Linked DNA regions of Macaca mulatta. The protein of the gene in region 7 interacts with the protein of the main gene of each other region in a pairwise test. Links are inferred from orthologs where the notes say so. Each region holds a gene or a part of one and is shown on either strand. Other genes may lie near its edges. The genes, in order: NPM2, LYAR, PRR13, ZCCHC17, PTMS, ZRSR2 and SDCBP2.

Region 1 (3,945 bases), on a different chromosome or scaffold from region 7:
AGCTGGGCATGGTTGTGGGCACCTGTAAACCCAGCTACTCGGGAGGCTGAGGCAGGAGAATCGCCTGAACCCGGGAGGCAGAGGTTGCAGTGAGCTGAGATCACACCACTGCACTCCAGCCTTGGTGATGAGAGTGAAACTCTGTCTCCAAAAAAAAAAAGAAATAATGTTGAAGGTGATGGATATCCCAGTTACACTGATTTGCTCATTACGCATTGTGTGCAAGTATCAAAATACCATATGTACCCCGTAAATATGTACAATTACTATGTATCAGTTAAAAAAAAGTTAATGAGGATGGTACCAGTATTATAGCCTCATTTAGCAGATGAAGAAACTGAGGCACTGAGACATGAATTAACACACCTGAAATCACAGAGTCCAGACTTGAACCCAGACTGTCCAGTTCCAGTCTCCCAGCTCTAGGTCATGACCTCAGGGTCATCCCCCTCCCCTGCCTCCATTTAGCCTTCACTGTGAACCCCAGCTGCAGCCTCACATCAGTGTGATTATTCACGGGGAGGGTGGCCTGGGGCCACTGAAGACCGGTTTGCTTTGAGCCCTACTCTCCAATGAGGCTGGAAGCCCTTTGAGGGGCTGTTTCGTATTCACTGCGGGATGCACAGACCCCGCCCGGCTGGCGGAATCACCGTTTGTTGAGTGAATACTTGAACGTCTGTGCATGGCATGCATGTGCCTGCAATTTGCTCATCTTTACCACACACTTGGCTGCAATGGCTGTCACCTCCAGTAGGCCCCCTGCCAAGGACAGAGATCTCAGGGACAGTCAAGGAGACTGGAACTGCTCAGCTGAGGACAGGGAGCCTAGGGGGCCCTGGCAGGCCCCCAAGCCTCTCCTGGGTTGTCCTGGCCAATTCACAGGGAGGTTGACCCCAGCTCCCAGGAATAAAAGATTCTGACCTCTCCGTAGCAATGAGCCCCTGCCCCAGAGGTGTGCGGGAGATCCCTGGTTATCTGAGGTGTCTCCAGGGTATATCCGCTGAAACCCCCCCTTCTCTTCACTGCCTACTGAGCCTGGGACCCGCTGCTGGTCACGTGCTTGGCCCTGTAGCGTCGCTAGCCGTGCTCCCCAGTGTGCCCCCCGCCCCCTGCCGCGGAGCCTCCCTGCTCCCCTCCCCACCCCACCTGCGGGCTGTGGCTCTCCGCGGGAGATCTCACCGTTCTGGAGACAGGGCTCGCTCTCTCTCATTGGAGACTGGAAGGACGGGCTGTCTGGGCCTTAGGAAAGGCCCATGCTGTATAAGGCATAGGGAAAGGAAAGGAAGAAAGGCAACGAACAAGGAGCGCTTCTAACTGCCGCTTCCTGCCAGCTGCAGGCCTCCCTTCCTAAGTTGGGCTAAGGTTTCCTTTCCATGGGCTGGGGAGGGGTCGCCAGTAGGCCTCGGCGGGTCCTCTTTGGCTCGGACAGCCGTTCTCACGAAGGGTCCTGGGCCGGCATCATCAGTTTCACCTGGGAACCGGTTAGAAAAGCAAATTCCCTCGGCCCCACCCAGACCCACGCCAAGGGCAGCTGTGGAGTGGGGCGCAGCGATGCGCACATTAACAGCCCTCCAGGTGATTCTACCGCGCAGAGGAGGAAACAATGGGAGAAGGGAAGGGGAGAGGCAGGCGGCTTCTTTGCGGCTGATTGGACACCTGCCCTTCCCCTTCCAAGGCTTCTTAGCCCGGCCTTGGGCAGCAGCCCTCCGGCCAGCGGGGATGAGGTTGCGCTGCGCTCCGGGAGCGCCAATGGCGTGACTGGCCCCGCGCGAAGCAGCGACAGTAAGGCTGAGTGGGGGGAGCTGGGACCTAAGCCGCGCGCACACCCCTTTCTCTGCGCCTGGTGGAGGTGCACAGAGGCTTTTGAGTTAGGCCCAAGCGCAGCCAGGTGACCTCCCCGCGGGCTTTCAAGCCTGGGCTCGGTGGACAGCTCCCTCTCGCGTGAGTCCGGCGGTCCTCTCCGCGCCCGGCCGAGCCCCGGGCTGCGCGCCCCGCTGGGAGGTGGGTACTCGTCCTCCAGGAGTTGGCGGTGAGCCCTTGACCTTGGCGGGCGCTCTCCAGCCGCGAGCGACGCCTCAGTATCTGCCGATGCCTGCCGGCCTCTGGCATCCTCCAGTCGAGGGTCAGGGTCAGGGAGCAAGGCCTCACGCGGGCGCCCTCCTTGCAGCTGCCCGGCCACCCTGCTTCTCCGCCCGGAGCCATGAATCTCAGTAGCGCCAGCAGCACGGAGGAAAAGGCAGTGACGACCGTGCTCTGGGGTGAGTGGGAACTCAGGCTACTTCCCAGAGCCACGCCCCACCTCCGGTGCGCGGCAGCTTGGGGCCCAGGTGAGCCCCTCCCTCGGGAACGAATAGAGGGCCCCACTTCCCTCCCTTTCTCCTCCGCAGGCTGCGAACTCAGTCAGGAGAGGCGGACTTGGACCTTCAGACCCCAGCTGGAGGGGAAGCAGAACTGCAGGCTGTTGCTTCATACGGTCGGTGTTCCCAAAAGAGGGGAGGAGGATGGAGTCCGGAGACTTTCTGGTCCCAACAGAGGACTATGGGTTTCTCCCGTCTGCCCTCAGGGTGATGAGGGGCCTCTGTCTATTTTCAAACCCGCGCAGATTTGCTTGGGAGAGAAAGCCAAAGAAGAGATGCATCGCGTGGAGATCCTGCCCCCAGCAAACCAGGAGGACAAGAAGATGCAGCCGGTCACCATTGCCTCGCTCCAGGCCTCAGTCCTCCCCATGGTGGGCCTTTCCCTGCTGGCAGGAAAACTGCTGCCAGCCCCAGCCTCACCCTCACCCTCACTCTTGGGTGGGGATGGACACACACGAGGGTGCATTCACCCTACAGAAGTGAGCCATGCCAGGGAGGTAGCACAGCCCATGCAGAAAGCTGGGGTCCAGCCCAGCTCACCCCTTCCTAGAGCTGTGTGACCTTAGGCAAGTTAAGCTGTCTGCAAAAATTACACTTTAAATCAGGGGTCCCCAACCACCGGGCCAAGGACCAGAATCCGTCTGTGGCCTGTTAGGAACCCGCGGCACAGCAGGAGGTGAGCAGCCAGCTAGCCAGCATTACCCCTGAGTCCCGCCTCCCATCAGATCAGAGTGGCATTAGATTCTCAGAGGAGCATGAACCCTATTGTAAGCTGTGCGTGCAAGGGGTCTAGGTTGCATGCTTCTTATAAGAATCGATTGCCTGATCTGAGGTGGAGCAGTTTCATCCCAAAACCACCCCCTACTCCCACCCCATCCATGCAAAAATTGTCTTCGAGGAAACCGTTCCCTGGTGCTAAAAAGGTTGGAGGCTGCTGCTTTAAACCATTCACTGCTAGTCACAGGAACATGGTCGATCTACATATTGGTTGTGTATCCAGAAATGCTGTAGTTTCTAATAATTCGTCTCAAGTTTTCTATGCATATAATAATTGAATAATGGCAGTTTTTCCTTTCCTTTTTTTTTTTTTTTTTTTTTGAGATGGAGTCTCACTCTGTCACCCAGGCTGGAGCACAATGGTGCGATCTCAGCTCACTGCAACCCCCGCCTCCCAGGTTCAAGCAATTCTCCCGTCTTAGCCTCCCAAGTGGCTGGGATTACAGGCATGTTCCACTACGTCCGGCTAATTTTTTTCTTTTTAGTAGAGATGGGGTTTTGCCATGTTGGTCAGGCTGGTCTCAAACTCCTGACCTCAGGTGATGTACCTACCTTGGCCTCCCAAAGTGCTGGGATTACAGGCATGAGCCACCACACCCAGCCAACCCGTCTTTTTTCCCATGCCCATATCTGATCTACCAGCAGTCCTGTCATCTCTGCCTCCATCTTATACCCCGATGGACCACATCTCATCATCTTCCCTGCTACTCCGGTATAGGTGACAGTTGTCTGTGGCTCCATTCTAATTGCTGGGCCTTCCTACCATCACATGGTCCCCTGTAGTCTATTCCAGGGTAGGCAAACTAGAGAG
Region 2 (3,198 bases), on a different chromosome or scaffold from region 7:
AAATTAAACTTTATCAAAACAAAACCATTTGCCCTAAAAAAGACTCTGTTATGATGAAAAAACAAGCAACAGACTGAAAAAAATTCACAAACCATATGTCCCACAAAGGAGTAATATTTAGAATAAAAAACTCAAATCTCAACAGTAAAAAAAAAAAACAAAAAAATCTCACAAAAACAACCACCACCAAAAAACCCCCAAACAACTCAAATTTACTTCAGAAAAACTGACTTAGTTCACACAGAAACTTGCACATCAATATTTACTGCAGCTTTATTCATTAATAACCAGAAATTAGAAACCTCCCAGGTGTCCCTCAACAGGTGAATGATGAAAGAAAGTGTGACGCATGCATAGCATGGGATACTTCTCACCAGTAACATGAATATTATCAGTTCAGCAGCCTGGGTGAATCGTCAGAGAAAAATGCTGAGTGAAGAGTCAATCTCAAAAGGTTACATACTGTATGATTCCATTCATAGAACATTCTGAGATTACAGAAATGAAGAACAGATGAGTGATTGCCAGAGGCTAAGGAGGGGGTGGGGGTAAGAGGGAAATGGCTATGGCTGCAAGAGGGCAGCAGGAGGCAGCCTTGTGCGATGGCGATGGAAACAGAAGCGGATCAATGTCAACATCCCGGCTGAGATGCTGTACTACAGTTGTGTAAAGTGTTATCCTGGGTGGCAACAAGGTAAAGGGTACGCGGATACATAAGGACGCCTGAGTCTCCATTATGTCTTACAACTGCATGTAAGTCTACAAGGATCTCAAAACAAAAAATGTAACAACAACAACAACCAAAAAAACCGTTCCAGTTGTCCCCCTTGAACTGTAGGGATCAGAGTTCCCAGACCCCCAGTGGATACCTGAAATCACGATGGTGCTGAACCCTATATATACAGTCTTTTCCTCAATATTCATGCATATCTATGATAATTCTCCACTTATAAATTAGGCTCAGTAAAATATTAATAACTAATAATAAAATACAACAATTTTACAATACACTATAATAAAAGTTATATGAATGTGGTCTCTCTTTCTAAACACCTTATTGTACTATCCTCACCCTTCTTGTGGTGAGGAAGGCACAGAGCAGGACAGCAAGAGATCTCGCCATGCTGCTCAGAACAGCAAGCAATGGAAAACTTATCAATTGTTTATTTCTGGAATTTTCCATACCACAGATATGGGGGCACTACTGTTTACAAAGTTGAGAAGGGGGTTTTAAGCTAAGGGATCTAACCCAACGCTGGGAGTCACTGAACTCTGCTAATAAAGCTGCAGGCCCATTTGAGTCCTTGGACCTGTTCTGAACTGCGGGATCCTGGGGGTTGGGGGAAGTGGCAGAGAGATGACGACTTGCCACCTCCCGACAGGTGTGAGTGCTTCAGACCTGAGGAAGCAGGAGAGAAGCTTTGTGTAAGAGGCAGCATTTCAGAGGGCCCGTGAAGGCCAGGGACTGGATTCTGAGGTTGAAGATATAAGCAAGGAGATCACAGAAACAGGCCCAGAGATGGGCAGGGGCACAGCTGAGGGGACTTCTAAAAGGACAATGAAAGGCAGGGACGAGAGAGTTGGGGAGGAGCGAAAGGGAACGGTCTCAGAAAGCTATATTAGGTTTATTTAAATTCCCAAGATAACATACATTTCCAAACTAGATTGCTTTACTTTTCTCCTTAAAGACAGTGGGTGAGAGGCACTGTAAGACTGACTCATACACCCTAGAGAGCTGATTTTACTTTCAAATTCTTATACATGCCTCTGGAGGGTAAGACCCTATCAGAAGTTCCCGGGTTACACCTTCCTCCCCGAGAAGGGGGCATCTATCGGCCCCTCTCCCAACCTACAAGGGACCGTGCATTTCTTTTCTCTCTCTCTCTCTCTTTCTTTTTGAAAGTCGTATGCCCATGGCTCACTACAGCCTCAAACTCCTGAGCTTAAGTGACCCTCCTGCCCCTGCCTTTCAAGTAGCTGGGACTATCAGTGAGAGCCGCTGTGCGCAGCTGTGCTCTTGGAATGACAGCAGTGATATACCTTTTGCAGGAGCCTCATGGTCTTCTGGTTCTCCGCCCTCAGGATGCTCTGGGAGCTTCATCTTTTTCTTCTTAGAATCTGTTTCAACTAAGTATTTGGAAAGGTTTTTTTTAAAGAAGATTTTGCATTTATGCTAGCAGCTACCATTTAATGAGACCTTATGCGAGCTAGGCACGCTCCACATTATCATCTCATTTCTTCTCCAGGCTGCCTAGCCAGCCCCGGTTTACAAAACGCCAGGAGGGTTTTATCCTCCTCCATGCTGGAGATGGGACGAAGGGAGTTGAGAAGTGAGGTCATTTGCCTGGGCAGGGCCCAGCTCAGCCTGGCCACAAAGCTTATGCTCGTTCCCTTACTTGGTTCAAAACACAAAGTCTAGCTGGGTGCGGTAGCTCATGCCTGTAATCCCAGCACTTTGGGAGGCTGACAGGGGCGGATCACCAGAGGTCAGGAGTTCGAAACCAGCTAGACTAACATGGTGAAACCCCATCTCTACTAAAAATACAAAAGTTAGCCGGGCCTGGTGACACATGCCTGTCATCTCAGCTACTCAGGAGGATGAGACAGAAGAATCGCTTGGTGGAGGTTGCAGTGAGCCGAGATCGTGCCACTGCACTCCAGCCTGGGCAACAGAGCGAGACTCTGTCTCAAAAAAAAAAAACAAAAACAAAACATTAAAACCACACGCGCACACACACACACACAACACTAGGTCTAACAGGATTAAATACCCCAAATTCACAGCTTTCCCGGTTTTCAGACGAATCCTGGAGCGTTAGCCAGCCACTTACCTTCTGAGTGCTTCCGCTTCCTCTTTCCTGCACCCACGTTTGCCTCTTCCTCACCAGCACTGTCCTTGCGCTGCTTCTTCTTCTTGCTCCTCTTCCCTGCAGAGCCGTTGGCCTCAGGGACTTCCTCTCCACCAGCCCCAAGGTCAGCCTCCTGTCCCTTTTTACGCTTCTTAGGCTTCTGATTCCTTGAGTTTTCCTGGTGGTTTTCTAATTTTAGTTCTTTCTTTTCTCTTTTCCTTTTCTTCTGCCGTTCTTCCTTTCTTTCTCTTTTATTCTTCTTCACCTCCCCTTGCTGTTCCACGGCATCTTTCACTTTGGAGGGTGGAACCTTGGTGGAGATTTCTGCACGAGGATGTGCCACTGGGTG
Region 3 (4,088 bases), on a different chromosome or scaffold from region 7:
TTACCCAGGTTGGAGTGCAGTGGCACGATTTCGGCTCACTGCAACCTCCGCCTCCCGGGTTCAGCGATTCTCCTGCCTCAGCCTCCCAAGTGGCTGGGATCACAGGCACATGTCACCACGCCCGGCTAATTTTTGTATTTTTAGTAGAAACGGGGTTTTACCATATTGGCCAGGCTGGTCTCGAACTCCTGACCTCGTGATCCGCCCGCCTCGGCTTCCCAAAGTGCTTGGATTACAGGCATGAGCCAATGTACCTGGCCACTTGTATTGTTTTCTTTAAAAAAAAAAAAAAAAAGTCTGGGCGCGGTGGCTCACGCCTGTAATCCCAGCACTTTGAGAGGCCGAGGCAGGCAGATCACGAAGTCAAGAGATGGAGACCATCCTGGCCAACATGGTGAAACCCCATCTCTACTAAGAAATACAAAAATTAGCCGCGCCTGTAGTCCCAGCTACTCGGGAGGCTGAGGCAGAAGAATCGCTTGAACGCGGGAAGCGGAGGTTGCAGTGAGCTGAGGTCGCACCACTGCACTCCAGCCTGGCAACAGAGCGAGACTCCGTCTCAAAAAAAAAAAAAAAAAAAAAAAAAAAAAAGAGGCCATTGTAGCAATTCAGGGGAGAAATGAATCCAGGCGAGAGATGATGGGAGGTTTAGACCAGGGAAGACGGAGAGAAGTGGAGAGATTCCAGATGTATTTGTGAGACAAAACTGGTAATTTGGGGTAAGGGAGGTGAAGGAGACAGAGGGATCACGGAAGACCTCCTTGGTTTCTGGTTTAGGCTTCTTGACAGATGGCGGAGCTATGCAATTGAGAGAGGGAATCCTGGGAGAGATTATGAAATCTCTGTATTTTCCGCAAGAATGTTTGTTTGCTTCCCTTGCGAGTGTAAGAGGGAGCCGAGAACATTGAGGCTTGGGGCTAGGACTCAGCAGCTCCTCTGCCCTTGCCGAGAACTCTGTCTATATCTGTATTACAACACTTACCATAGTGTATTCACTTTACAAGGTATTGCACCCAGTGAACCATGACTAGCAGAGAGCAAGGGCAGAGTTTCTTCTCGGTGTCTCTAGGACTTTGCCCAGCAGCTGGCCCCGCCCCCTCTAGCGCTCTCCGCCTAGCTCCGCCCCCAGGAGATTTCCGGCTTCTCAGTACTTGCCTAGTCGTAAAGGGCTCCGGTCTGCAGCTAGAGCAACCGTTTCCTCCTCAGTTGGACCAGAGTGATTGATTAGTTTGTTGTCCAATCATCAGCCGAGTGGCCACATAATTACCAATTAGGCAGTAGCAGAGGCGGGTACCGAAGCACGGGGTCTGGGTGACTAGGTGTGACTAGGAAGTAAGAGCCGAGACTGCGAAGAACGCATCAAGTCCAGGCGGCGGTGGAAAGGTGACGTGGTATCTGAATTCCATGGGTTTATTCCTTTTCCCATTGCTGGGTTAAGAGCCCCTTCGCAGCTTGGGGCTAGGATCTTCATTTGCCTTTTTTCTTTTTTGGAGGAATTGGGCTGTGTCCATTTATTTAAGTATTTGAGGTTCTTGAGCAACTTCCTTCTTCGCCTCCAGGCGTATCCTTTTCTTAGCCTGAGGTGAGGTCCTCCCCAGGGAGAAAGTTGTTTGAGATCCTTTCTTACTCTGTGGGTGGTTAAAGGCCTCCGGACTCAGTTCCAGGAAAGGGGGATGAATGATGGGGGTGCCGAGACTCGCGGGCTATGCCCTCTTGCGAAGAGTTAGACGCTTCAACCTAGGTGGAGGGGCCCTGGGAACTAGATTCCTGTGTTAGGAACCAAGTAGGTATTGAGGGCGAAGAAACAAGTGGAAAGAGACATTTCTTTCTTTTTTTTTTTTTCTTCGAGGCGGTGTCTCGCTCTGTTGCCCAGGCTAGAGTGCAGTGGCGCGATCTCAGCTCACTGTAACTTCCGCCTCCCAGGTTCAAGCGATTCTCCTGCCTCAGCCTCCCGAGTAACTGGGATTACAGGCGCCCGCCACCGCGCCCGGCTAATTTTTAGATTTTTAGTAGAGACGGGGTTTAACGATGTTGGCCAGGCTGGTGTCGAATTCCTGACCTCGTGATCCACCCGCCTTGGCCTCCCAAAGTGCTGGGATTACAAGCGTGAGCCACCGCGCCCAGCCAGAAAAGAGATGTGTCTTATGTGGAAGTCGTGGTAGTTCTCCAGGTGGGAGAGCCTACTGTGGGGTGGAAGACGTTAGGGCTGGGCTCCGGTGCTAAGTCCACTTCCTACCTCTAGACTGTCATCTTTTTTGCCTCATTTCTTTCTCCTCAGGCTGGAGGACACACCTAAACATGTGGAATCCCAATGCCGGTAGGTGTTTGGGGGTTCTGTACGACCCCTAACCCTTTTTCTGATGGACTCTGCGTAACAGGAAGTTTCTCTATCAGCTGCCCCATCCCCGACCCGCCACACCCGCAAAAGCAAAGTCCTTAGTCTACAGCTGACCAGTGCTTTTTTATTTTATTTTATTTATTTATTTTTTGAGACGGAGTCTCTGTCGCCCAGGCTGGAGTGCAGTGGCGCGATCTCGGCTCACTGCAACCTCCGCCTCCTGGGTTCAAGCGATTCTCCTGTTTCAGCCTCTGGAGTAGCTGAGATTACAGGCGTGCGCCATCACGCCCTACTACTTTTTGTATTTTTAGTAGAGACGGGGTTTCACCATGTTGGCCAGGCTGGTCTTGAACTCCTGGCCTCATGTGATCTGTCCACCTCGGCCTCCCAAACTGCTGGGATTACAGGCTTGAGCCACCACGCCCCACCGGCCTGACCAGTACTTTTGTCTTCCTCAGAGTTCACTGTCTCCCTCCTCTCTCCAGCCCTTACGGGGACATTCCCCTTTTATCCTCAACTCAGGTTTGTCTCCCCTACCTTCTATTCTCCTTTGTCACTTTTCCATTTCCCTTTAAGTATTGGGTGAGAAAGAATCTCTTTCTTTTTGTTGTTTGTTGTCGGAGACTCTGGGGAATACTAATGTTTATAATCTGCTTCTTCCCCCAGGGCAGCCAGGGCCAAATCCATATACCCCCAACATCGGGTGCCCTGGAGGTTCCAATCCTGCCCACCCACCACCTATTAACCCACTCTTTCCCTCAGGCCCCTGTCCTCCTCCCCCAGGAGCTCCCCAGGGCAATCCAGCTTTCCCCCCAGGTGGGCCCCCTCATCCTGTGCCACAGCCAGGGTATCCAGGATGCCAACCCTTGGGTCCCTACCCTCCTCCATACCCACCTCCTGCCCCTGGAATCCCTCCTGTGAATCCCTTGGCTCCTGGCATGGTCGGACCAGCAGTGATAGTGGACAAGAAGATGCAGAAGAAAATGAAGAAAGCTCATAAAAAGATGAACAAGCACCACAAGCACCACAAGCGTGGCAAGGTCAGTACCCTCTGGAGCCTGGCTAGGGAAGGGGTGCCCCCTCAGAGGGACTAGGTAGGCAGGGGTTGGGTGAGGGGGATTCACATTCTGTGGACGTGGGGGATGACGATTGTGTCACTCTGGTCGATGATTCTTCCTTTTTGTAAAAGATTGCTACTGGGAAGAATCTGATTATCTTGAAAAGAAACATCAGGCTTCTCCTATCTGGGGGGAGCTAGGGTGAGCCTTAAAATAGATTTTTAGAATCAAAAGCCAAATCTTTTCTGCCCTACTCTCTCCCAGAACTTTTGCTCCCCTCCCCGCAGGTGCATATTCTAGCAAGTTGGACCCCCTCACTGACATTATCAAAACATCAATTAAAGTCATTCCTTTGACAAAGCAAAGTCTTATAATAATTAACAGAATAATAATATGGCCCTAGTTCCTGGAGTTCTTTCTCTCTTTCAGTGTTCTTAGGGCCTTGTGTTAATTACATGGGCCCTTTGCCCTATCATCCAGCAGAAAAAGTGAGGACAAGAGCAGTCAGTGACTCAGCCTCTAACAGCCTAGGACTAAGGAGGTTTTATACTCAGCCCCAAGGCTGAGTATCTTTGTTTTAGAGGACTGTTAAAAATTAGTAAGGATCATGCCTGTAATCCCAGCACTTGGGAATTATTAGCTGGGTGTGGTGGCGCATGCCTGTAATCCCAGCTACTCAGGAGGCTGAGGCA
Region 4 (3,995 bases), on a different chromosome or scaffold from region 7:
ACGGCTTAGGCCATGAGGCAGTGATGGAAATGGTAGAAGTAGCAATTCTAGATCTATTTTGAGAACGGTGCCAGCAGGATTTATTGAGGAGATGAGAGGACACTCGTATTTCCTCGTCTGAGCCTAAACAGGGCATTAGAAGTGTGATCACTATTTCCATCTTACAAAAAATATAGTTAGGAGCATGGTTTCTCAGTTCAACATCTGTTTCTATCACGTGCTTGATAAGTCTGCTTTTCCATCTGCAAAATGGGTTAATAACGTTCCTAACAGGCTGCTACCAAGATCAATGGAAATTTCATATACGAAACACCTTAGTACAAGAGTCAACGAATGTTAGCTGCTATTCAGTTGTTAATAATACTAGTGCAGAGAAATAAAGGGAAAAGCAACTTGCCCAAAGTCCCAAAACGAGCCAACACCAATCATTTCCCTCTTTTCCTCCCTCCCTCATTCATTCATTCTACAAAGTCTTCGGAATTTCTGTTCTACGCTAGATCCATGTTAGAGTCAGGATGCTTAAGCCCGGGTCCGGGTTGTGAGCCCAAGGTTCTCAACGCTAATTCTAACGCTACCTCACAAGGCAGTCGAGAGGCTGAAAACCAGCGCCAAACGGGCGAACAAGTACTGAGCATCCGCAGGCTATGAGGCGCTTTTACAATGTTGGTGTGCTTTAACTCTAGGTAGAAACTCTCGTTCTGCCCCCCGCAATGCGGGAAGGGTCGGTGCCGGGTCACCAGATACAGCGCTCTGAGGGGAGGAAGATGAGCTGAGGGCCAAAGGCCGCCTGCTTCTTCACTTACCGCTTGCAGCAAAGCTCCCGGCGTCGCCTGCTGCTGCCCGGCTCCCGGGCCCGACCCCGCTCCCAGTAGCAACTCATGCCGCTGCCGCTTGACTGGAACCAGCGGCAACTCTGGGCCCTTACGCTTCTGTTGTTCTATCATGGCGGCAACCGGTCTCTTCAGCGCCGCCACTGACCGCGCTGCCCCCCTCAGGCGCCACGCAATTGGTTCCAGCTTAGTCCTTCCTCCACAACTTCCAGCTTGGAAGAACCAATCGGTTTTCAATATACCCATTTGCACTGCCCTCGGATAGTCTCTTGTTATTGGGCATATCTTTCTGACGTCATGAGAGTGCGATTCCAGGATTGGTGGACGGAGCTGGCGACCTCCCTAGGCGCGCTGGGTCTTGTGGGTGGAAACGCGCTGGCTGACTGGGCTCGGCGTTTAGTTCAGCGCCGGGACTCGGGGGCCTGGAGCTGACGCCTAGTACGTATGAGGAAGAGCTGGGTGGGTGGCAGCCTGAGTCTGAAGGCGACGCCTCGGTTGTGCAGTCTGAAGCTGCCCTTCTCAGCTGAGGGTGCCGATAGCAAGGGGTGGGAGGCGGGGCCCCGAGTCCCCAGCTGTGGTAAGTAGTAGCATGGGCTCCCTTTCCGGGCGGGAGCGGAGCCTTGGGGGTCTCTGGCGGCAAGACCCAGTCCCTGCGGCTCCCTTCTTCAAGAGCGCCCGTCGTGGCCAGTCCTGTGCCGGGCATTCCCAGGGAGAAAGGCCTGTGTCCCAACTTCCTCCGGCGCCCCGTTTGGCCGAGGAGGCTGACTTGTTTCTGCCACTGATTTTGCAGTTTTTGATTAGGGCCTAGTCTCTGCCCCCCTGAGAGAGACAATGATGAAGGAAATGTCCGACTCCTTCTCCAGAGCGCAGTCTTGTTGAGAAATTTGAGACTCATGCCCATGAACGTGGTCATTGCGTCAGTCGTCCAGCTGATATTTATTTAGCAGCGCGTTGGGGGTACGTCGTGAACCAGACACGGTCCCTACTCTCAGGGCGTTTAAGTCTGGTGGGGAAAACGTTAAACAATGACCTCACTAATACATGGAAATGCCTCCTAGTGCTGTTTGATGCTGAGTGCCTGAAATAAGCAGGAAGGTTTTTCAGAGGAAAAGATGCCTGCTCTGGTAGCTGCAGGAAGAATTGTAATTAATTAAGTGAAGAGGTAAAGGCAGAACCTTCCGTAGAGAACTACTTGTTCAGAGCCCTGAGGCACTTGGGAGGAAAAATGACTAAAAGCACAAAGAGCCAGTGTGACTGATACAAAGAGAATGAAGGGGAGTATGGTACAAGATGAAGCTGTACGTGATAGCGGTCAGACCTTGCAGGAATTTGTAGCTTTATTTTAAAACGGATGGGATACCACTGAGCCGTCTTCCCCCGGTGGGGTGTGGTGGAGGAGGGGGCTTGATTTCTCAGGCTCAGTGGTGTGAACAGATTGGGGCTGGGGAAGCCCTAGTCGATACATGTGGACCACTTAGGATATACAGTAATCCTGGTCAGAGATGTCAGTGAGGACTGAGAAGTGGGTGGAACTGCAGAGAATTGGACAGATTCTAGAGGTATGTAGGAGGTAAAATGGGCGGAACTTGGTGAAGGGTTGATTTTAGTGAGTGAAGACAGGAATCAAAGGTAACTCATAGGTTTCTGGCTTATGTAGTTGAATAGATAGATGGTGGTACCATTTACTCACTATCACGGAATCCCCCAAGCTGGATAGGGAACACTAGAAGACGACTAGAGACCAGTTTTTTTTGTGTTTTTTTTTTTTTTTTTTTTTTTTTTTTTTGTGGGGGACAGGTTCTTGCTCTGTCGCCCAGGCTGGAGTGCGGTGGCACAATCTCGGCTCACTGCAACCTCCACCTCCCAGGTTCAAGCAATTCTCCTGCCTTAGCCTCCCCAGTAGCTGGGATTACAGTCGCCACCGCTATGCCCGGCCAATTTTTGTATTTTTATTGGAGATGGGGTTCCACCGTATTGGCCAGGCTGGTCTCCAACTCCTGGCCTCAAGTATCCACATGCCTCGGCCTCCCAAAATTCTGGGGTTACAGGCTTGAGCCACTGCTCCCAGCTGAGACCAGTTTTGACTGATTGATTGATTGTGTGGGGTCATTCATGATATCCAGGAGGCAGTTTGAAACACAGCTTTGTGCTCAGAAGAGAGATTTGTGTTGGGAATATAAAATTGGGGATAATTTGTATGTATGTGAATTGAGCCATAGGTGTGGATAAGGTCACCTAAGTCAGAACCTTGACTAGTTCCAACATTTAATGGTGAAGAACAGGTGGATCAACCTACAGGAGATACAGAAGGAAGGAAGGAAGACTGGAGGAATGTTTCAGAAGCAAAAGAATGATTTGTGATAGAAACTTCTAGAATTTAAATAACATGAAGATTGAAAAATATATTTTGGCTTTTATCATTGTGGAGGTCATGGTAACGTTAGCAAGAGTTATTTTGTTGGTGTGATTGGGCAAAAAGCCAGATATGAGGCAAGGATTTGGACAAGAAAATGTAGGTAGTGAACCTACACAGTATGTTTCATAGATATGATTGTAAAGAGGAGGAGAGGATGCGCTAACTGATGGAGATAAGGGATTATCCAGGATCCAATTGAGGATACAATTGTGAGAAATTTGAGAATATTGTAGAAGATTTGAAAGTCATTGTGGAGTGTGGGAGAATGAGGTTACTAGAGAAATAGTAGGATGCAAGGAAAAAAAAATTAAAAACTTTTTTCCAGCATATTCAGTGGTTTAGTGCATACATGGAGAAAACCTGTCTGGGTATGGCAAGGACATCGCTTGCTCAAGACACATTCTAACCTCTAATATGTCTTCTCTTACTGAAAAATTTGGAAAACTAAAAACCATTTTCTAGACTCCTTTGCATCTAAGGTGAAAATTGAATTTGGAACCGAGTTAAATGTGGAGAGAAGGAGGGTATGAGTCATCCAGTTTTGCTGCCAGTCATGGCAGTAAGTTCTCCAGTCAACAGCTCCCTGGTTTGGTGACTTGCTGCAGTAATAGCCATAACTTTCTTGGATTGTGGCAAAGGTGGTGTTATTTTGTGGGTTAGGTGTTGTTCCTGGAAGTTCTGCCAAAGTCTGTTATTGCAGTACATCCCTTTCTGCTTAAATGGGTTCTGTTGTCTGCAACTGTCCCTGA
Region 5 (4,168 bases), on a different chromosome or scaffold from region 7:
GAAATTCTCAATTGGACTGTAGAGTAAGGTAATTCTAGGAATAGGCAAGCCTCCACAAAGCCTCAGAAATAGTTCCATGGAGAAAAGCAAACACAGGCATTTAACACCGTTGGCCCCAGAGGCTTGAGGCTAACCCCTAGGACTGTCGGGTGGCTTTCAGATCCCACTCACTCCACATTCATCCCAAGTCTCACTTCCAGCTTCTTTCTCATGAAGCCAAGACTTCAGAAGACTGGCTTGTTGTCCAACCAGAGAGAGAAGGCTAAAGGATGCTTCATCCACGCAGGAAAGGAATTCGATCCAGGCCTCCAGCTTCCTAGACCTTTTCCCTGGGGTCCCTCGGACCCTAGTGTCCAAGCTCTTAGATTCTCAAGGCACTCCCTTGGGCTTTGGGGCAGGATTCCCATTCTCTGCCTCTCCATCTCTCTGGAATTTTCCACTGCAGCTGCCTCTGCTCCCAGACACCCCTCCCTGGGCAAAATTCCCGGCTCCCTCCGCCTCCCCTTCCCTAATCACACCTCATTCCCACCCCCAGCCCTGAGGCCCAGCCCACAGTCCGGCCCACAGCCCACGCTAACCCTGGTGGTCCCAGTTAGAGAAGTGGGAGGCCAGGCCCCTTATGGAAGGGTGAGAGGGAGTGTCCCAGCCTCTCTTTAGGGCGGGGAGAAGGGACACTGGAGGGGCTGGTCCCCTGTGGGGCTGGAGTTGGGGGAGTGGCCCATCTCACATCCCCATATAAGGCAGGGCAAGCAGTTAGGCTTCTGGATTGGCTGATTCAAATGAGCATTCCACCTGGCAACAGGGTTTCTATTGGCTATCAGGAAAAATAGGAGGAAGGTGGATGGAGGTTGTTGGTGGCGGTGATTGGAGGGGGGAGGGGAGTGGAGGTGACCGGAGTGGGGGGCGGTTACCAGGGCAACAGGGTAAGAGCCCAGCAGGGTGTCCGAGACAGCAGGCGGGGCTGGGAGGTGGAGTGGAGGGAAGAGGAAAGGAAGGCGGGAGGGAGAGGAAAGAGCCTGATGGGGAGGGAGCGAGACTGGGAGACTGGGTTGGTTGGGGGGGGAGTAGCAAAGGATCGAGGAGAGGGAGATAAATGAAGCAAGAGGAGTACAGAGATGGAGATGGTGAGAGACGGCTGAAGACATCAGCCAGTGAGTCAGAGAAACAGATTGAGAGAGGGACATGGAAAGATCTCAGAAAAGATAGAGTCCGGCAAGGAAAAATCCTGGGTGGGGCCCCAAGATTTTTGAGGAGACTGAGAATGAAATATTGATAGAAAAGTCAGAAAGAGAAACTGGGAGGCGTGTACATCAAGGGACCAAAAGATGGTGTATTTAAGCACTCCAACACAAAATAATGATAATGATCATCAAAATGGTTTTTTATTAATAAAATGAAAATAAGATGAGGAATAATGATAATGACAGACAAATATAGGAGTGCACGCACACCAAAGGACTTTTTCCAAACCCCAGCCTTCCACCCCGTCCACCTTCCTGACCTTTAATACACAACCCAGCCCCTGTTCCCTTCTGAAATCCCAAGCTTTTCAAAATGACTCAAAGATACCGAGATTGAGGGCGAGGAGCTGAGGATGTCTGGAATAGGGTGGGGCTGGAACTCCAGACCTGGACCTGTATTATATTTGCAAAGGAGGCAAATATAACCCAGAAAGGCTAGGGAAGATGGCAGCAGAGGAATGAGAAAAGCTAACGGACGGCAAATGTAAAAAATGAGGACAGAAAGAGGAGTTGAGGAAAGCCAGCCAAGAATAGAGGGCCAGGTGCCTGACTCAGATAAGACAAGAGCAGGGTTGTCTGGGAAAGGTAGGGAAAGAGACCAGAGGTGTAAGGGCAGAAGAGGGTCAGTAAGGAGTGGAGAAGAGGTGAGAGAAGAATGGGAGCGATTCGAGTTATAATTGGTTGTGAGGGAGGGGTCTGGGTACAGATGACTGAGGACAGATGAAGAGAAATAGAAGGACCAGGCGAATAAAAGTGAGGTGACAGGCGAATAAGAGAGGTAGAAGATGGAGGAGAGCTGGAAGCAAAGGAGACCAGGGGCCTGACTCCCTCCAGCTCACAGCACGGGGACAGGAAGACAGGCACCCGGCAAGGGTCACAAGTGTCAATCTGGCGGGAGGGAAGGCTGGGCCGCCCTTTCTGCCCTCCCATCCCTCAAGGCCATCCAGAGAATGTGGATGGAGGATGAGAGGGGGAAATCCGGCGTGGTGTGGAAGGAGCGCCCGAACCCTATTCCTCTTCTTTAAGCTTTTGGTTTCTCAAATACCTGCCCTATCTTCCCATCTGCTCCCCTCACCCCACCCTTTGACAAAATCCCAGGGCTTTTTTTGGGGTCAGTAGGATTCTGGCCACCTCTCCAGTCCGCCCCCAAAAGCCAGACTCCACATTCGCAGGCAGTAGGTTGGGATTTGGAAAGGTGCCTCCCCGCAGGAACCCCACCCCTTCCCACCTCCTCGCCCCACTCTTTCTCCGCGGCCGTCAGTCTCTCCATTTCCCCCTCCTGGTCTCGTCCTCCCTCCCGACTCTCTAGCTCTCCCTCCCCTCGCTTTCATCCTCCTATCCCCACCTCTCCAACCTCCTCTTTCATCCCCCTCCCCTCTCCTCTCCTCCCCGCTCCCGCCTGCCCCACCCCTGGGAAGCCCCTCCCGTCGGGCAGCGCCGCCTTATAAGCGGGTTCCCTTCCCGGGGGCGGCAGCGGCTGGTCGGCGGCAGCTCTGCTGGTGCGGGGGTGGCAAGCCCGGGACCGAGCGACCGCGGCCGAGCGCGCCGGCCACCGCCTGCACCGCCCTTCCGCCCGCCCTCCGGACGGCCGCAGCCCTGCGGGTCTCCGCTCCAGACCCACCCCCGCCCCACCCCGCGCGCCTCTGCCGCCTCTTCCAGAGACCCAGCTTGCCGAGCGGCCGCCGCTGCCGCTGTCGCCGCCGCCGCCGCCACCGCGCCAGGTTCCGGCCGCGGCCACCCTCCGCCGTCCAGGGCCCCTCCGTCTCGGCTCCGGGACCCCGGCTCCCCGCCAGCCCCGGCCCCGGCCCCGGCACCGGCACCATGTCGGAGAAAAGCGTGGAGGCAGCGGCCGAGTTGAGCGCCAAGGTACGGGCGGGGGCAGCGGCGGCCCGGACTTCGCGTGGCCCTGGGGCCCGGCGCGGTCCTCCGCCCCGGGTCGCCCCCGACGGCCCTGCGCGGCCCTCGCGCCCGGGTCCTGGCGGACCCCACTGCGCCCTCCCACCGCTCCCCGGCCCGGAGCTGCCTTCCCGGCTCCGCGCGGCTAGCGCCAGCGCCCTCTAGCTGCCCTGCGCGCACCACGGCGCCCGGCCTCGCCGCTCCGGTCGCGCCGGCCCCCGCAGCCGTCCCCACCCCTCTTCGGCCCCACCTCGCTGACCGGATCCCGTCCGGCTTTCCGTCCCAACGCCCCGAGTCTCACTTTGCCGCGCCCCCTCCCTGCGCCCCGCTGCCGCGTCTCTCCTTGCAACCCGACCTCACCTTTCCTCGCTAAGCGGTTTGAGATCCTCAAGTGTAAACAGGACTCTCCCTGGAGGCTACTCCTCCCGGCCCCTCCCCGCGGCCCGACCGTCGCTCGCTTCTCTCCCCGGACGGCGGCTGCCTCTGTTTTCTCGTTCCCTCCCCTCAGCTGGCTTTCAGCTTTATTTTTTCTTCATCGTCCCTTTCCCACATACACACTGGAAGAATCTCGAATTCCTAAAAATTAGAAGCGGGGCAGGAATAGCCTTCGAAAAAGCCGAGGCTGGGCATTGCATGGCATTGCGTCGAGCTGTCCTCGCCCTCATCAGCTCCCTTCCCCTGCCCCATCCGTTCGCCCTTGCTTCTCTTCCAGCCTTCTCTAATTTCCCCAGGGAACCTTCGGAGTGTCGCTTTGGGAAATTAACGCGGCCGGGGTTTGGGGGCTGGGAGCCCTATCTTGTGTGTGTATGTGTGTGGCGGGGCGGGTTGGGGCGCGGTGGTTGCTGAGGGGCCGTCACACTGGTCTCCCGGAGGCCAGCGAAGTGAAACGGGGGGAGCCAATGGGATTAACGGCGGTGGGAGAGGGGCTGTGTGCGATCTGCCAAGGTGCGCCCGTGTGGCCCTCCGGCGGGCTGTGCGGTGGCATGTGACTTCACTGAGTAGGTGTCTTTGTATGTCTGAAATCCAGCGAG
Region 6 (3,500 bases), on a different chromosome or scaffold from region 7:
TAATTGTTTTTGAAAGCAGAAGAAAAACAAAAAAATTAACAAATGTAAAAAGGGAAAGGGCTTTAATAATTGCAACACACCCAAAGATAGCCACTGTTAAGAAAGAGAAAAGGAAAGTATAAATGTACTTTACATGGGTCTTTCTATAATGGCATGATATTTATACGTATTTTTCTATAAATTGCTTTCCTGCTAAATATATAGTGCATTTATTTAAGTCCTGATGCAGGGATCTAATTCAACCATTTCAGTGGCAATACAGTACCCACTGTACAGAAGTAGCCTAATTTATTTGCTATTCGTAGTTTATTCATTCGTAATTTATAGTTCTCTACTGATAGACTTTCAGGTTATATTGGTTTTTTACTCATATGTAAAAAGTTGCAGTAAGCATCCATGTTTATATATCCTTGGTAATCGTCAAATTATTTCCTTAAGAAAATGACTAAAAATGAGATTGTTGGAATCAAAGCGTAAGTTCCTGTAAAATGTAGATGGCCAGGTAGAAAGGGCTTCCTGGTTTGCAGTTTGCAGCCCTTCTGGCAGTGAATGTAGGGCCCCATCTCCTCATACCTTCACTCATACTAGGCACTGGCAGTTTATACAACTCCTGTAATGAAAAGTTGTATTTCACTGTTTCAAATGCACATTTCTGAATTAGGAAGAGTATCTTTTTATATGTTTTATTACCTATTTGTAGATTGCTCAAGTCTTACACCTTTCTCTTTTGGGATACATGTTTTTTTTAAATTTTGTTTTGTTTTGTTTTGTTTTGTTTTGTTTTGTTTGAGACAGAGTCTCGTTCTGTCCCCAGGCTGGAGTGCAGTGGTGTGATCTTGGCTCACTGCAACCTCCACCTCCCAGATTCAGGCGATTCTCCTGCCTCAGCCTCCCGAGTAGCTGGGACTACAGGCGCGCACCACCACGCCCAGTTAATTTTTTTTGTACTTTTAGTAGAGATGGGGTTTCACCATGTTGGCCAGTATGGTCTCGATCTCTTGACCTCGTGATCCGCCCACTTCGGCCTCACAAATTGCTGAGATTACAGGTGTGAGCCACTGTGCTCAGCCGAAATTTCTTAATGTCTCTAAGCTTCTGTTTCCTTGTCTTTACTATGGAGATAAAGTCAATCATAGTATCCACCTCACAGAATTGTGAAGATTAAATGAGGTGATGGATGTATAGTGTTTAACACAGTGTCAGCAGATAAGAGGTGCTGTGATAGCTCTAGTTCTTATTATAGATTTCTGTTGTGATGAAGACAATAGATATGGTATTAAATAAGAAAGTAATTTTCTTCCTGTTTATTTGAAATGCTTCTTTTAAATCACATACATGTATCTTTGTGCTCCTTAGATCTTTATTTCTTTATGAGTTGCATACTATTGTTGAAAAGCAAGAAAATTATGTAAAAATACTGTACGACTTTATGTCCTATTTCAAAGCAGATGTATATTCAAGTTATTAAATTTTAAAATTTTTAACATTTTACTTTCTTGTGGTCTTTATATATCATTTGGTTCAGTTATATGCAATTATATGTTTTTCAAAAGATTCGTAAATCAGAGCTGTGCACACTGAAGCATCTGTATGGTGCCCTCACACATGGCATGGGAACACTGATATAGGCAGTGTGCCAGCCTCTGCCATGGCTAAAAGACGTGTTCCTGGAATCTGTATTTGGAAATGTAATATGTTTTATTTAAAATTGTGGTTAGGTCCCCAGACTAGACAGAAAAGTTTACTGAACTCCTGATACTGCTGAAGTAATACAGAACAGTTTCTCATATTTCATTTCCCTTTTATAAATTCAGTGGAAAAATGAATTTGGGGTTCTAAACACCTAATTGGCAAGTAGACTTTAGAAATCTAAGCCCCGCTTTAGATTAGAAATTTGTGATATTGGATGCCTGAGACACTTGCCACTTTAAGGTAATACCACTCATTATAATTGGTCATATAAAAAATAGACTAGACACTCACTAGTTTATTTTTACTTTTTCATTTTTTGAGACGAAGTCTTGCTCTGTCATCCAGGCTGGAGTGCAGTGGCATGATCTCGGCTCACTGCAGCCTCCGCCTCCCAGGTTCAAGCGATTCTCCTGCCTCAATCTCCCAAGTAGCTGCGATTACAGGCGGCTGCCACCTTGCCCAGCTAATTTTTGTATTTTTAGCAGAGATGGGGTTCACCATGTTGGGCAGGCTGGTCTCAAATTCCTGACCTCAGGTGATCTGCCCACCATGGCCTCCTAAAGTGCTGGGATTATAGGTGTGAGCTATTGTGCCCGGCCCTCACTAATTTATTTTTATAACTTCATTTCTTAAAACCTGTAGCTTTATTTTAAAAACATGATCACAATGTACTTTTATTTTCCTTCTTTTGGCAGTTTAGGTGTTTGGAGGCAAACCACAGGAGTCTCTTAACTGTGTGGAGTAGTAGTCCAAACGTTTATGGCAGAGGATAACGGGTTTTCAGCGTGCTGCCATCATGGAATTGCTACTTTTAAGAATAGGGGCTGGGTGCGGTGGCTCACACCTGTAATCCCAGCACTTTGGGAGGCCTAGGCAGGTGGATCACTTGAGGTCAGGAGTTCAAGACCAGCCTGGCCAACATGGTGAAATGCTGTCTGTACTAAAAATACAAAAATTAGCCTTGCATGGTGGTGGGCTCCTGTAATCCCAGCTACTCAGGAGGCTGAGGCAGGAGAATCACTTGAACCCAGGAGGCGGAGGTTGCAGTGAGCCAAGATCACGCCACTGCACTCCAGCCTGGGCAACAGAGCGATACTCTGTCTCAAAATAAATAAATAAATAAAAATAATTGCATAGAATAGGAAGGGAAATGCTTTCTGAATGCGAAAAGGTAGATGCTGCTTTGAAACTTGCTACCCATTTTATTGGCACCTAAACGTCACTGTGATCAGTCTAGAGGGAAAGTCATAGTGTCCTTTTTTTCTGTAAAGTATGTCACAGCCATATATACCTATGAAATGTAAGAGGGATTTTAAGTTATTGCCCATTAGGAAGATAGTTGCTGACACGTGGTGCTTTTCCAAAAGCTCTACTCTTCTCGTTCTCTTACACCCACTTGACTGCTTTAATAGAAAATAGCTTTCGTGATATTTGAATCAATCCCAAAATGTGTCATTTTGCTCTCGTGTGTGTGTATTTGTGGATTAATGCCCATTTCTTTTGTCTGATTACATCATTATACTGATAGGCAAAGATTACATGAGGAGTGGTTGCTAAGAGAGCAGAAGGCACAAGAAGAATTCAGAATAAAGAAGGAAAAGGAAGAGGCGGCTAAAAAACGGCAAGAAGAACAAGAGGTACGGTAGGAGTCACGTAACTAGTGAACAAACTGATTACTTCACCATAATAACTCTCATGAAGAGCTGCCTATCTTGGGAGGTCGAAGTGAGCCGAGATCGCGCCATTGCACTCCAGCCTGGGCAACAAGAGCGAAACTCCATCTCAAAAAGAAAAAACAAAGAGTTGCC
Region 7 (3,500 bases):
CACCAGACGGTGCTGACATGCTGATTTATGGTGACTCGAATCGTTTGTATAAACAGAGGCCCCACAAATGATATCACATTCTCAAGGCAGCCTTGCTGGGGGCACCAGAGAGGCCGCAGCTTTGCTAACTCTCAGCTGGGTTTAGAAGGATAAACAGGTTCACTGGGCAGTCAAGGAGGGAGGGGAATAGCATGGGCACAGGCCCTAGGAGGTGAGGTGACTCAGCCCAGGTCAACCAGGCAGTAAGAGGTCGGTGGCAACTGGGAGCCTGGTCCTCTCCTCCTTCCATGTTGAGTGCTTAACCCTGGAGCCTCCCATACCTTTGGCATTGCCAAGCTTCCCTGATGACCTCTTCCCTGAAAGGACTGGGCACCCAGGAGCCCCCCACTCCAGCTCACCTACCTGGTGGTGGGGAAATGGCTGCCGCCTGGACTGGCAGGGCTGGCATCTTGGGCAAGGCTCTGGCCTGGGCCTGGGGAGGAGCAGGGAGCACTGGTCAGCTGTGGCCAGGACCCCAGGAACCCCAGAGCCTGGAGCTCCATGAGGCCAGGGTCTGGGCGTTAGGTTGTGAGTGGGCCTGGGGTGTGGGGGAAGTGTCCACCAACCCTCAGGGCTGAAGATCATGTAAACATGGCCTCCATGGATGTGTCTTTTCCTGGGAGGAGGTTCTGAGGGACTGTGACCCAACTGATGTCACAACCCGTTTACTGCCTGCAACAGGCAGAACATCAAGACCCATCTCCCAATCAAGTTCTCAGCTGCAAAGTCCAAAATTCTCAAAACCCACTGGAACCACAGAGTGCTGGGATGGAGGAAGAAGGGGGCTTCTGGGGGCTGAGCAGACCAATGCCCATGCCCACGAGCCTTGTTTCCTCTGAAAGCCTGCCTGAGAGCATGGGGCCTGCCCATTCTGGAGAGAGGGAGAGCTGGGCCTGGGCAGGACAGAGTGGGCATGAGAGAGGCATGTGTGCAGCTGCTTGGTCTTTTCCGTTCTTGCTGTAACACCATTGGCATTGCCCCCTGGATGTCTTCTCTGCCCAGCAGGCCCTGCAGTGGAGACCTACATGACCTGAGGCCTAAGGGAATCTCCAGGTGGCCCCAATTCCCAGCACCTTCCAGGATAATCCCCAAGATCCCCTTCAGGGAGTCCAGATGAGTGGAGTCTGGTGACTTACCTGAATGGCCTGGTCCACTTTTAGGTCTTCTAGAGATGGGTACAGGGATGACATGGCTGATTCTTGGAACACCCTGCAGAGTTCAGAGGGTGGGGAAGGATAAGGATGCAGCTGATGCCACCTTGAGAGGAGGCACAGACATCTGCAACAGCAAGTGGGTTGGAACTTAATATTCAAACAGGAAGGCAGCAGGACACTTAGAATCCCTCCCCGAACTCCACCCCTAATCCCCTCTCCATTTTCGAACTCTACTGTATTCCACCCATCTCTAGCCTCACTGTCAACTTTCAATCTTGGCCACAATGAAGTAAGACCAGTAGGAGATTTATAAAGACTCTCACACAAACTGTAGCAGAACTTAGACCCTCAACAGGGCACTGCTCCAGAGGGAGGAGGGAACGGGGAGTGGAGAGGCACCATGAGCACTTATTTACTAAACACCTTATCATTGTCTCCGGGAGAATCAGCAGGACCTCTCAGCAACGTACCCAGAGAAAGTGAAAGGAATGACCTCTCAAGAAATGTTTTATTCCCTTCCTGACGAAACGTGGGGAAGGAGCAGTCTGCCTTTCTGGGTTCCTTCCCTTTACCCACTAACCACTGGCTCTGTCACACTCCCAGGCTTCGCTGAGGCAGTCCACTTCCACTGGAGCCCCTGTCCAACCTCCTTGTCACCCTCGGTTCCTGTGGGACATGCCTTGCCTGGCTCCAGGCACTACGGTCACTGCCCCTACCATCCAGGACCCTGCCCTCCAGGACAGCACTGGGGCAGCCTCCTGCCTGAACTCACCACTTGTCCTGACTGCAGTTCTGAGGGGTCAAGGTGTGTCCTATTCACCCCACTGAACCCACATATGATAGGTACACATGATAAAGGAATGCCTGCTGGTGGCACAGGAAACTGAGGGGCCTGTGCCAGGGTGATGTGACTCCAGGCTTCCCAGGACCAGATCCGCTGGGTACCTCCCTGAGTGACCACAGGTGCGCCGAGGACATCCTCATCCATCACTGCTCCTTCTCCTCCCTCTGCACCTGCTGCCTTGACCCCCGTGTCATCGTTGGCCCCACTCCCACTATCCCTTCTCATCTGTCATCAAATCCCATCTTTCCCACATCCCATGTTGTGCAGGTCCCCATCATCTCCCTGGCCCTCCCCAGGTGCCACGACACCCTCCAAACATGCTGCTGCCTCCCCTCCTGCCCTCCTGCTCCTCTCCAGACAGCAGCCACCAGGCCCTTTGTGTATACACTTGGGATGTCATGCCCTGGCTGAAAGCCCCCCAGTGGCTCCCCTGCCTTGGGAATGTACTTTCCTTAAAGTGGCTCACAGGGCCTTCACGATTCCACCAGAGATTGGAACTGGTGGGCTCAGGGCCAGATGGAAATATATTTTATTTGACCTTGTGGAGTACTGTCAACGTTCAGATTACCAGCTTAAATGCAAGGCTCAAGGTACTAGATTTAATAATCTAATTTCCCACTGCTCCTGAAAAACAGGAAGCTTTGGCAACCCTGGACTGTAGCAGAGTAGCTACAATTGAGTAGCAGCAGACTCCAGGGTGACCCAGTCCACCATCCTCTATTGGCTCTTACACCCAGACCATTGTACTCACTGGCGCCAAGTCCCGATAGGTATTTGTTTGTAACCCTTGTCTACTTCTCCAGCTTCATTTCTTGCCTTATGTCCTTTCAGCTGCTACTTTCAGCTCCAGCCATAATGAGCTACTTTCACATCCTTGAATGTGATTCCCTCCCGTCTCTTTTGCATGTGTTATTCCTTCTATCTGGAATACCCCTCCTCTCCCTGCTCCTTGCTTGGCCAACTCCTAATGATTTTCAAGTCTCAGATCCGCAAGCTCCTCTTACAGGAAGCCTGCTTTCATTTGTTCTCCCCCTAGCCCCTGCGCCATGTCCTACTCCTGTTGAGTATTCACGAGTCCTGTGTTGCCTCTTTACTTGTCTGTCTACCTCCTTAGGAGTTCCAAGATGGCAGGAACAGGGGCTTCTCCTTTGCTGTGAAGCCTCTAACCCCTAGCATGGAGGCTAGCTCAATAATATTGCCAAAAGCAGCGCATTCTACCTGGGCTTCCACCTTTTTCCTTGTAAAGCTCTAGTATCCTAAGAACACCCACCTTCCTGGATGAAACAAAGACCAGAAGTCCCAAATGTGCCTCTCACAGTCCTGTTTTGTTGTTGTTGTTGTTATTATTATTATTATTTTGAGACAGGGTCTCACTCTGTTGCCAAAGCTGGAGTACAGTGGCGCTATCTTGGCTCACTGCAATTTCCAACTCCCGGGCTGAAGCCATCCTCCCACCTCAGCTT

The links.
Region 1: the proteins of SDCBP2 (region 7) and NPM2 interact in binary tests that used the Homo sapiens proteins (3 or more experiments, as listed by UniProt). The two-hybrid records come from large-scale screens. The link is inferred for Macaca mulatta from reciprocal best matches to the Homo sapiens genes SDCBP2 and NPM2.
Region 2: the proteins of SDCBP2 (region 7) and LYAR interact in binary tests that used the Homo sapiens proteins (3 or more experiments, as listed by UniProt). The two-hybrid records come from large-scale screens. The link is inferred for Macaca mulatta from reciprocal best matches to the Homo sapiens genes SDCBP2 and LYAR.
Region 3: the proteins of SDCBP2 (region 7) and PRR13 interact in binary tests that used the Homo sapiens proteins (3 or more experiments, as listed by UniProt). The two-hybrid records come from large-scale screens. The link is inferred for Macaca mulatta from reciprocal best matches to the Homo sapiens genes SDCBP2 and PRR13.
Region 4: the proteins of SDCBP2 (region 7) and ZCCHC17 interact in binary tests that used the Homo sapiens proteins (3 or more experiments, as listed by UniProt). The two-hybrid records come from large-scale screens. The link is inferred for Macaca mulatta from reciprocal best matches to the Homo sapiens genes SDCBP2 and ZCCHC17.
Region 5: the proteins of SDCBP2 (region 7) and PTMS interact in a two-hybrid assay, tested with the Homo sapiens proteins (2 studies listed by BioGRID and IntAct). The two-hybrid records come from large-scale screens. The link is inferred for Macaca mulatta from reciprocal best matches to the Homo sapiens genes SDCBP2 and PTMS.
Region 6: the proteins of SDCBP2 (region 7) and ZRSR2 interact in binary tests that used the Homo sapiens proteins (3 or more experiments, as listed by UniProt). The two-hybrid records come from large-scale screens. The link is inferred for Macaca mulatta from reciprocal best matches to the Homo sapiens genes SDCBP2 and ZRSR2.

Annotation. Positions count from the first base shown.
Region 1 is NC_133413.1:23,669,819-23,673,763, forward strand, and holds the start of NPM2 (nucleoplasmin-2), read left to right. Parts: upstream 1-1,145; 5' UTR 1,146-1,551; coding exon 1,552-1,575; intron 1,576-1,577; exon of another isoform or gene 1,578-2,167; coding exon 2,168-2,258; intron 2,259-2,387; coding exon 2,388-2,473; intron 2,474-2,602; coding exon 2,603-2,728; intron 2,729-3,945. UniProt on the Homo sapiens protein: Core histones chaperone involved in chromatin reprogramming, specially during fertilization and early embryonic development. Probably involved in sperm DNA decondensation during fertilization.
Region 2 is NC_133410.1:8,736,146-8,739,343, reverse strand, and holds part of LYAR (cell growth-regulating nucleolar protein), read right to left. Parts: coding exon 2,832-3,198; intron 2,128-2,831; coding exon 2,041-2,127; intron 1-2,040. UniProt on the Homo sapiens protein: Plays a role in the maintenance of the appropriate processing of 47S/45S pre-rRNA to 32S/30S pre-rRNAs and their subsequent processing to produce 18S and 28S rRNAs. Also acts at the level of transcription regulation.
Region 3 is NC_133416.1:60,591,756-60,595,843, forward strand, and holds the start of PRR13 (proline-rich protein 13), read left to right. Parts: upstream 1-1,288; 5' UTR 1,289-1,383; exon of another isoform or gene 1,384-1,391; intron 1,392-1,493; exon of another isoform or gene 1,494-2,170; intron 2,171-2,278; 5' UTR 2,279-2,298; coding exon 2,299-2,317; intron 2,318-2,796; coding exon of another isoform or gene 2,797-2,860; intron 2,861-3,004; coding exon 3,005-3,378; intron 3,379-4,088. UniProt on the Homo sapiens protein: Negatively regulates TSP1 expression at the level of transcription. This down-regulation was shown to reduce taxane-induced apoptosis.
Region 4 is NC_133406.1:209,563,716-209,567,710, reverse strand, and holds the start of ZCCHC17 (zinc finger CCHC domain-containing protein 17), read left to right. Parts: upstream 1-1,195; 5' UTR 1,196-1,268; exon of another isoform or gene 1,269-1,274; coding exon of another isoform or gene 1,275-1,394; exon of another isoform or gene 1,395-1,407; intron 1,408-1,693; exon of another isoform or gene 1,694-1,787; intron 1,788-1,942; coding exon of another isoform or gene 1,943-1,954; intron 1,955-3,995. Other genes in the region: SNRNP40 (U5 small nuclear ribonucleoprotein 40 kDa protein), read right to left, coding at 804-944.
Region 5 is NC_133416.1:7,727,907-7,732,074, forward strand, and holds the start of PTMS (parathymosin), read left to right. Parts: upstream 1-1,368; 5' UTR 1,369-1,732; coding exon 1,733-1,885; intron 1,886-2,713; exon of another isoform or gene 2,714-3,062; coding exon of another isoform or gene 3,063-3,107; intron 3,108-3,818; exon of another isoform or gene 3,819-4,168.
Region 6 is NC_133426.1:15,480,108-15,483,607, forward strand, and holds part of ZRSR2 (U2 small nuclear ribonucleoprotein auxiliary factor 35 kDa subunit-related protein 2), read left to right. Parts: intron 1-3,220; coding exon 3,221-3,329; intron 3,330-3,500. UniProt on the Homo sapiens protein: Pre-mRNA-binding protein required for splicing of both U2- and U12-type introns. Selectively interacts with the 3'-splice site of U2- and U12-type pre-mRNAs and promotes different steps in U2 and U12 intron splicing.
Region 7 is NC_133415.1:82,831,960-82,835,459, reverse strand, and holds part of SDCBP2 (syntenin-2), read right to left. Parts: intron 1,318-3,500; exon of another isoform or gene 1,249-1,317; 5' UTR 1,230-1,248; coding exon 1,176-1,229; intron 473-1,175; coding exon 403-472; intron 1-402.